2 linked regions of the Tribolium castaneum genome follow. The protein of the gene in region 2 purifies or fractionates together with the protein of the main gene of each other region. This does not show direct contact. Links are inferred from orthologs where the notes say so. Each region holds a gene or a part of one and is shown on either strand. Other genes may lie near its edges.

Region 1 (4,043 bases), on a different chromosome or scaffold from region 2:
TTTTTGTTTGAACTTACAAAATTTTAAACTAAATATCTAACACGGTTTTGTATAATTGGTTGCCTGTGTAAATCGCTAGAATTTGTAAAATTTTAAAATGTATATCTGAATTATTTTCATCAGCGTATAAATTTTAATTTTTCGTTTGTGTATTTGATGTTATGTTGATAATTGAACAAAAAAATTATTTTGTGAAAGTTAACAGAGTCGGACCAAGTATGCTAGGAAGGGGTCCCAAGGGCGCTGAATGATAAGAAAACTGTGATATTAAAGACTATATATATAATTCATTAAAGAAAACACACTAATGATAATTGTAACATATTATTAATTAATGTTCCGTAACGTTGTTATTTGAAAAACATTTGTTCATTAGGCTGTTACCTCATTTAAAAAAAAATGAAATTAAAGTTTGGTGCCGCCCTTGACTAAAAAAGACATATCAATTTTTTTTTTTTTTTAGATAATTGTTCAGCATAAAAATGCTCAAGTTGCCATAATTTAAAGATTTCGTATCTTTTACAATAACTGAGCTTCCTATGGTGGAGTTCGAACAACGGACACCCTGTATATACTACTTTGATCCAGTTTGGCACTAAAAGTGCGGCTTATAATATCTTCATAATCGAAAAATTACACTGTTTTCGATCTAATTTAGTGCCTGTTAGTGTTGGGTTTATTTTTTAGAAACTTTGCGACCTAATCACGATTCTAGGTAAAAAACATGCTAATAGTCATTAAATAAGATAACTAATTTTACCTCATTTTGGTAATATTTTGGAAAAAAAATATCTTTACCTCAAAAACGTGCTGAAGCAAGCGTAGTAGTTAAAAGCTTATTTGTTTTTAATATTTTAGCTAAATTTCCTTTTTGTTCCTGTTTGTCCTTGTGCAAAAAAGCCTGATATCCAAATAATAAAATGCATCATCACAACTGTTCGTAAACAAGCATCTCACCCATCCACCGAATTAATTAATTGACTTAATAACAAGCGTCGTAAGCCGGCTTACGATTGGACGCTTGCGGCGCTAAAACCTGTCTTAAGTAAACCCATCCACCATTGCCACATTTCGTCTTTTCCACTCAACCCAGGCTTGGTTTTGAGCAGTTTTGAACCAGCGACTTGACAACACCTCCTCGACCACCTCCGCAATATTCGAATTCCAGAGCGAAAATTTCGTGTTTGCGTCGGTGTTTCGGCCAAGTCCCGCGATGAATTTCGTGCTAGTGCTTAGTTTGGTGCTAGGAGAGGCGCTATGTTGGTCAAAAGCGGGCATCTACATCGACAACGGCCTCAACCAGACCGTCATCGACCGCGAGATGACCACCAGCGAGAAGCAGGAGATGGAGATGGAGATCCTGAACCTGCTGGGCCTCCCCGAGCGCCCCAAGCGGGTCTCCAACTCGCTGAAGCGGTCGGCCCCCAAGTTCCTCCTGGACATCTACAAGTCGCTGATGGAGGAGGAGAACGAGGGCCACTCCAGGAGCGAGCGCAGCGCTGACTTGAACCTCAGTGGAGACGAGCAGAATGCGATCGACGAGAGCGACGTTATTATGACTTTTGAGAGCATAAGTAAAGATTTTGGTCCATTTTTTATTTTTTTTTATTGTATATTTATATTTTATTTAGACCACCACGTGAGCAGCGTGCGGCACGAAAGAGGCAAAAGGCTGTGGTTTAACGTTTCGGAAATGCCGATTGCCGAAAATGTGGTCGGAGCTGAGCTCCGGATTTATCAGAAGGAAATTCATTCGCCTAAAAAGGCCAGAAATGTGTATACTGTTACAGTGTTTGAACTTGTCAACACAGATTCGGGGTACTTTATTTTCTGTACAATTTATTTTACATTTTTATTATTGGGAATTATTACAGTGAGAGAGAACTGGAGTACATTTCTGCAGTAAATACAACAGGTAGTTTCACCGGGTGGTTAAATCTGAATTTAACGGCTTGTTTGCCGACTTGGGTGGCTTTCCCCGATTCCAATAAGGGTCTCTACCTGTCGGTACATCCGGTCGATAAGCCAGGTAGGTAATTATCCCAAATTTTTTCCTAATGGCGTGTCATAAATGTCCATCATCCAAAGATGCAATTATTTTGAAAATACTTTGTAACAAAAATCAATAAACTGTTGCGAATAGTTTTTACCACGTTTTTCATCAATATTTTCTTGAATACAAGGCGAAAATTGTGCACTATGTAAGTTGTTTGTTTTTTAATTTTGCTAAATCACAATACGCGTCGAGAAATGGCAAAAATTAATGTTGTTTTACTATTTATTTCTTTCGATTTAGCTCATCCTTGAGTGAAAGTTGAAAAACCATTTCAAAATATAACAATATTGTGTTTTTCGCGTCTTTATAAGCACATTTTTTGAAAGTTTTGTTGATTAACAGATTGATAAAAATTACCAAATTGCGTCAGAAGTTACAGAATTTTTACTTTTTTGAGCCTTTTAGCACGTTGTCAGCCAGAAATGACGAAATTTTTACAAACAAGCCGAAAAATAAGCAAGTTGGGCCAGAAATGGTGTTGTGTTTTTGATTTTTTGCTGGATTATTTTTTAAAAAAGAAACGAAATTTGTCAAAATTATTCCAAAAATGGTGTTGTTTTTGCTCTTCAAGGGTTTAAGCTCGTTTTTTGAATTAAAAACTTACCACAAAACACGTCTAGAAATGAAAACAATTAGGTAGTCGACACTTAATATGTTATTTTGCCTAATTCACATGAGTGATTTTTTTGAACGTTTTTGAACTAATGTTTTAGTTTTTTTGTGCGATTTCCCTGCTAAATAATCAACAGAGTATTAATTTAAATGTAGAATTGTATTATTTTTACATTTTAGGGTTTTAGTACGGTTTTCAGCAAATATGCAGTGGCATGCAGTGTCCTAGCGAGTAGGTAAAGTCCATTATTTACCTTTAAATGTTGCAAAAGTAATATTTTTTTCTTAAACTGTAGATAATAACCCTCTGTCTCAACTAAAATTACTTTCAAATACACTGGCTGTTTCGGAAATGAACTACAATACAAGGTTTACAAGTTTTTCAATTTTGAATCTAGCTTTTGAAATTGATGATTTTGTCCTAAACTTTTATTGGTTGATTTTGCTCAGTTTTTGAAATGTTTTAATTTTTTTACCAGAAACACGCTGTTTTTAAAAATGTTTAGCTCAAAAACTAAAATTCCTACAAAAAGAGAATTTTAAAGAAGAATGTTCAAACTTAGGAACACAGAAAAATTAAGAAGTTTGTTAAAGGTTGAATAACCTCCAAAAGTTAAATGGAACACCCAATTTTTTGTTTTTCTTTTTCAAACATTAATAAATATTCTGTCTAAAGACATAAAGTTTCAAATGCCTACAGTTACCATTAAAAAATTTATTTCACTTTAAATTTAATTTCAGCAACATTACAAATTATTTTTAGCATTGTCGTTACCATAGTAAAGCTACATCCAAAAATGCAAAAAAATATTGGGTGTTCTGTTTAAAAAAAAACATAAATTTTTATTGCAGCTTATTTCCGAAAGAGCTTGAAAATAATTTTAGTTGGCTTAGGTAAAAAATATTACATTTCTAACATTTAAAGATGAATAATGGACTTTTTGGGACAAATATATAGTTACAAATGTTTGATAACAAACCGAAAAACGACCAAATAAGACCAAAAACGGTATTATTTGTTGCTATAAATTATTTTAAAAATTTTTGCTCTGTAAGCTAGTTTTTGAGTTGAATTCAAACACGTCTAGGAATCACAAAAATGAATCGAAATGAATGTTATTTTGGTTATCTTTCTGCGAAATCTTGTAAAAATCGGTTGATTAACAGGAATCTGAAGTTTTTTTTACCGTCTTTGAGCTTTTTGTCTAAAACTGACAAAAAAACACCAAATAATAAATGAACTGTTTATTTTTGAGCGTTTTCTGGTAGAAACAAAATTAATATTTTATTAGAAAAAAACCGAAAAATCGCCAAGTTGGGCCAAGAATTGTGTTATTTTTGGGTTTTCACTTAGTAAAACCCAAATTTTTGAAAT
Region 2 (4,224 bases):
GGACATTTCGCTCGAATCTAGCGTTCCATTGGGCGCTTTCCTCTCCCTCTTGAGCGCATTTTTCTACGCCACTTATTTAGTTTTCCTCAAGCGCAAAGTGGATCATGAGGACAAAATCGACATTCCTTTGTTTTTCGGTACTTCTTTCCTCCTTCTCGCACTCAAAAAATAAACGAGTCTGTCGCAGGTTTCGTGGGATTTTTCAATTTGATTCTCCTGTGGCCATGTTTCTTCTTTTTGCACTTTAGCGGACTGGAAGTTTTCGAATGGCCGTCGAGGCAACAAGTGCTGTTGTTGCTTCTGAATGGGGTCTTAGGGACCGTTATCTCGGAGGCTTTATGGTTATGGTGAGTCTTTTCACAAGGTGGTAAAGTTTTGTAAGAAATGTTTAGGGGTTGTTTTTTGACGTCCTCGCTGATGGCGACCATGTCAATGAGTTTGACTATTCCGATGACCATGTTGATGGATGTTTTTTTGAAGAAGATCGTCTATCCGTCTCTGTTTTACACAGGGAGTATTCCTATGGTGGTGGCGTTTTTTGCCGTCACTTTACTTTCGCATTACGACAATTGGGACCCTGTACTCGACGTTATACGCTGTGCCTATCTAAGTATTTGCCGACGAACCAGATTTATGCGGTAATTAGGATTCAAACAATTGTGGGTTTGTTTATTGGGGCAATTGTGAAGTTTCAGGTTTGCTGAAATGCCGTCGGAACAAACCGAAGCCTTGATTGGTATTAACAGTAATGAACATGAAGCGTAGGTTTAGTTGATTTTTTCTTGCTGTTTTTATACCTACTATGGTGCTTACAATTTATGTGATGATAAGATTTTTACTTTGTGATCTTTTTTATTTTTATTAATTCATTGTAAATATGCGGAGTTAAGGAAGTGTATTAAACGCACGTAATACGTTCAAAACAGTAACTAGACAATATGTTCTACAATTAATTAGTAGTATTGTAACTCGTTCAACTAGCATTTCACGATCTCATAGGTTTTTCACAACTTTCGATAAGAAAAAGTCTGTGTATGCATTCCATAGTTCTAAGCCATATATTTTTAATATAATGTGGAAACATGTGTAACATATTTTCTGACAAAAACGTGTTAGAATGTAAATATTATTGCAGAATAGAGTATATTATGAACGCACCTTGAGTGTTTCAATCTCCCGCCTTCCTCCTTGTTTCCTAAAGCACGTAACGCCGAAAACGTTCCGGCCCTCATTAATGCTTACGTGCCCCCAGTTGTGGAAATAAATTACACAAGGCCCTAATAATGCTAATAACGTACCGAATTACTTGTTAACACTTTTTGTAATAAATAAATAACAATAAACGGCCCATTTCGAGCTCGCGTTACTGCGACTGCCACCAAAACAAAACAAAAATCCCGACTTGTGTTGTTATTTATACGGCGTAATATGGCCGCCACAAGTACCATAAATTGTTTATTAATAATATTATTGATACAAATCTGCACAGGTGAGTTGTGTATCCACATTCCCTAAAAATCTACATTCGTTCGGTTTGATTTATTGGGATTTTTGATCCCCCCGTGTGTGGAGTTCGTGCCCCATGTTTGATTGGCCGTAGGTGAAGTGATCCAAAGGCCTGAGCTGAAGGAAGACGCCGAGGATGAGGACGACGAACTCGGCAATGAGCACAGCGCTTTACCTAAAAACCTGGAGACTTTTCAAGTCAATCAAAATCAGATAACAAACGACAATGTGAAGCGCTACAAATGCCACCTGTGTGACCCCCCGAATTGCTCCAACCCGACTGTGTGTTTCGACGCCATCCAGTGCTGGAAGTCGCGCGTTCGGGAAACGTCCGGTAACGAGGCTTTGGGGTGAAATTGAAATTGGCGACATATTTTATTTTTCGTGTTTTTAGGGCTAGAGACTGTGACTAGGGGCTGTACGAAAGAGACAGACCAATTGCCGTTCTTATGCCGTACTCCGTCCTTTAGTGGGCAACAGAAGCGACAAGCCAGCGGCCAGTTCCAGGTCGATTGCTGCACTGGCGATTTTTGCAACAAGGGGGATTTCCCCGAATTGCCGATTTTGTTTACCAAGAACATGACGATGCACTCTGACTCAGTTGATTATGCGCTCAAAATGACGGCCGCGATTCTGGGACCGGTCGTGGTTATTGGCACGTTGGGTGAGCAAAATATCACATAATACAAACAAAAAATGCATAAGGATTTCTATTCAAACCTGTAGAAAAAACTGCATTCAGTGACAAATTTAGTGCATTTATTGCTGCCTTTTTAAGCAAAATGGCAGTGGAGCACAAACAGCTAAATAAATTGATGGTTTTACCCTTTTAAGGCATTAAAATTACCACACCAACTACTGTAAATAAAATAAAAAATAATTTATTTTATCTATGTATTTTATCTTGGTTAATCTTTTTTTTTGATATTTAATAACTCTTATTTATCTCAGCAGTTGCACAGAAGTCAGCGTTTACTATTAAATACTTAATCTTTTTCTTTATTTATGCGATTTTTTCAGAATTTTTATCACAAAACAACATTTAAGCATAATCTTTTTGAAACATATTGTATGTTAAATCAAATCAAAAAGAATAAATCAAATGTTTATTCATTAACTTTATTCACACTGTTATTGACAATAGATAACATTTATTACCGTGAAAAAAATATCAGATCGTTAGATTTGGACAGTTATTTTATATTTGTTCGACTAAACTTTTTTTTAATTATTTTTAAAAAGTATTTTTTGGCATTTTTGTTTGATCGGGTATTTTTGTAAAGTTTTGTAATTTTTTTAAGTTTGAAAGATTTTTTTCTGAATAGACTCAGAAATGGGTAGGTATCACATTTTCTTTAAGTTTATATTGTTTGACGGAACTTATTTTTAAAGAGAATTGTTCTTAGTTGACTAGATAGTTAAAAAATGTCGTGTGTTTTAAATAAATTAGCCTGTCTTTACAAGGAAGTAGGTGGCGTTAAGTTCTTTTAAGACACTAACTAGATAGAAACTTCAGTAATTTCAGCAAAAGCATTTTACATTATTTTCAGTGGATTTCAAAAATTAAACGACAGTTTATTCTTGAAAGGTCTGAAACGGAATAGTTGTTATCTTATCGCAATTGTAGTAATGCTAACGAATGACAAAATTGATTTATGAAGGTTTGAATTTAAAAGTTATATGACCAATGTAATTCAAAGTCAGACACCACTTTGATTAGAAATATCCCCCCAGGTGCCATCGTTCTTTACTTAATGCGACGCATTCACCAGCGCCGATTATGCCTCGAAAGTCGTCTGGATCCTGATACGTATTACGCTTCTGACGATTTGTTGCGAGCGACAGCTGCCGGCGACAGCACCTTGCGCGAATACCTTGAAAATTCTCTAACATCGGGGAGCGGTTCTGGTCTCCCTCTCCTCATCCAGAGAACAATGGCAAAACAAATTTCCCTCGCTGAATGCATCGGAAAAGGCCGATACGGCGAAGTCTGGCGAGGCATTTGGTTCGGGGAAAATGTAGCCGTGAAAATATTTTTCTCGCGAGACGAGGCCAGTTGGAACAGGGAAACGGAAATATACAGGTTGGTCCTCGCAAATTTATTAGCCATTTTTTAAATAAAACACTATTATTTCAGTACAATTTTGTTACGGCACGAGAATATTTTGGGGTACATTGGTTCGGACATGACGTCTCGTAATTCCTGCACTCAGCTATGGTTAATCACCCATTACCACCCATTGGGCAGTCTTTACGACCATCTAAATCGCACCACACTCACCCATCAACAGCTACTGCGTTTGTGTCTTTCGATTGCCAATGGGTTGGTGCACCTGCACACAGAGATATTTGGGACTGAAGTAAAATCACACACTTGATCGTAACTACTAAATTACGTTTAATTATTTTTTAAGGGAAAGCCAGCCATCGCCCACCGCGATATTAAAAGTAAAAATATTCTAGTAAAAAATAATGGGACTTGTTGTATAGCCGATTTTGGGCTTGCGGTGACGCATCAACAAGCCACTGACCAGTTAGATATTGGTTCCAATCCCAAAGTTGGGACGAAACGTTACATGGCCCCAGAGGTTTTAGACGAAACGTGAGAGTTTCATTTTATTGTAGTTTATTTCAAGACATTTCTTTGTAGGATACGAATGGATTATTTCGATTCGTTCCGTCGAGCTGATATTTACGCCCTAGGGCTTGTCCTGTGGG

The links.
Region 1: the proteins of sax (region 2) and Gbb purify together in Drosophila melanogaster (affinity purification with western blotting, with the first as the bait; 3 studies listed by BioGRID). This does not show direct contact. The link is inferred for Tribolium castaneum from reciprocal best matches to the Drosophila melanogaster genes sax and gbb.

The regions. Positions count from the first base shown.
Region 1 is NC_087398.1:11,155,296-11,159,338, reverse strand, and holds the start of Gbb (glass bottom boat protein precursor), read left to right. Parts: upstream 1-1,213; coding exon 1,214-1,574; intron 1,575-1,631; coding exon 1,632-1,818; intron 1,819-1,874; coding exon 1,875-2,029; intron 2,030-4,043. UniProt on the Drosophila melanogaster protein: Required for the growth of imaginal tissues and for patterning of the adult wing.
Region 2 is NC_087396.1:20,719,961-20,724,184, forward strand, and holds the start of sax (saxophone precursor), read left to right. Parts: upstream 1-1,422; 5' UTR 1,423-1,428; coding exon 1,429-1,489; intron 1,490-1,600; coding exon 1,601-1,840; intron 1,841-1,900; coding exon 1,901-2,170; intron 2,171-3,240; coding exon 3,241-3,589; intron 3,590-3,643; coding exon 3,644-3,866; intron 3,867-3,920; coding exon 3,921-4,108; intron 4,109-4,156; coding exon 4,157-4,224. Other genes in the region: Slc35f5 (solute carrier family 35, member F5), read left to right, coding at 1-137, 188-347, 393-638, 690-765.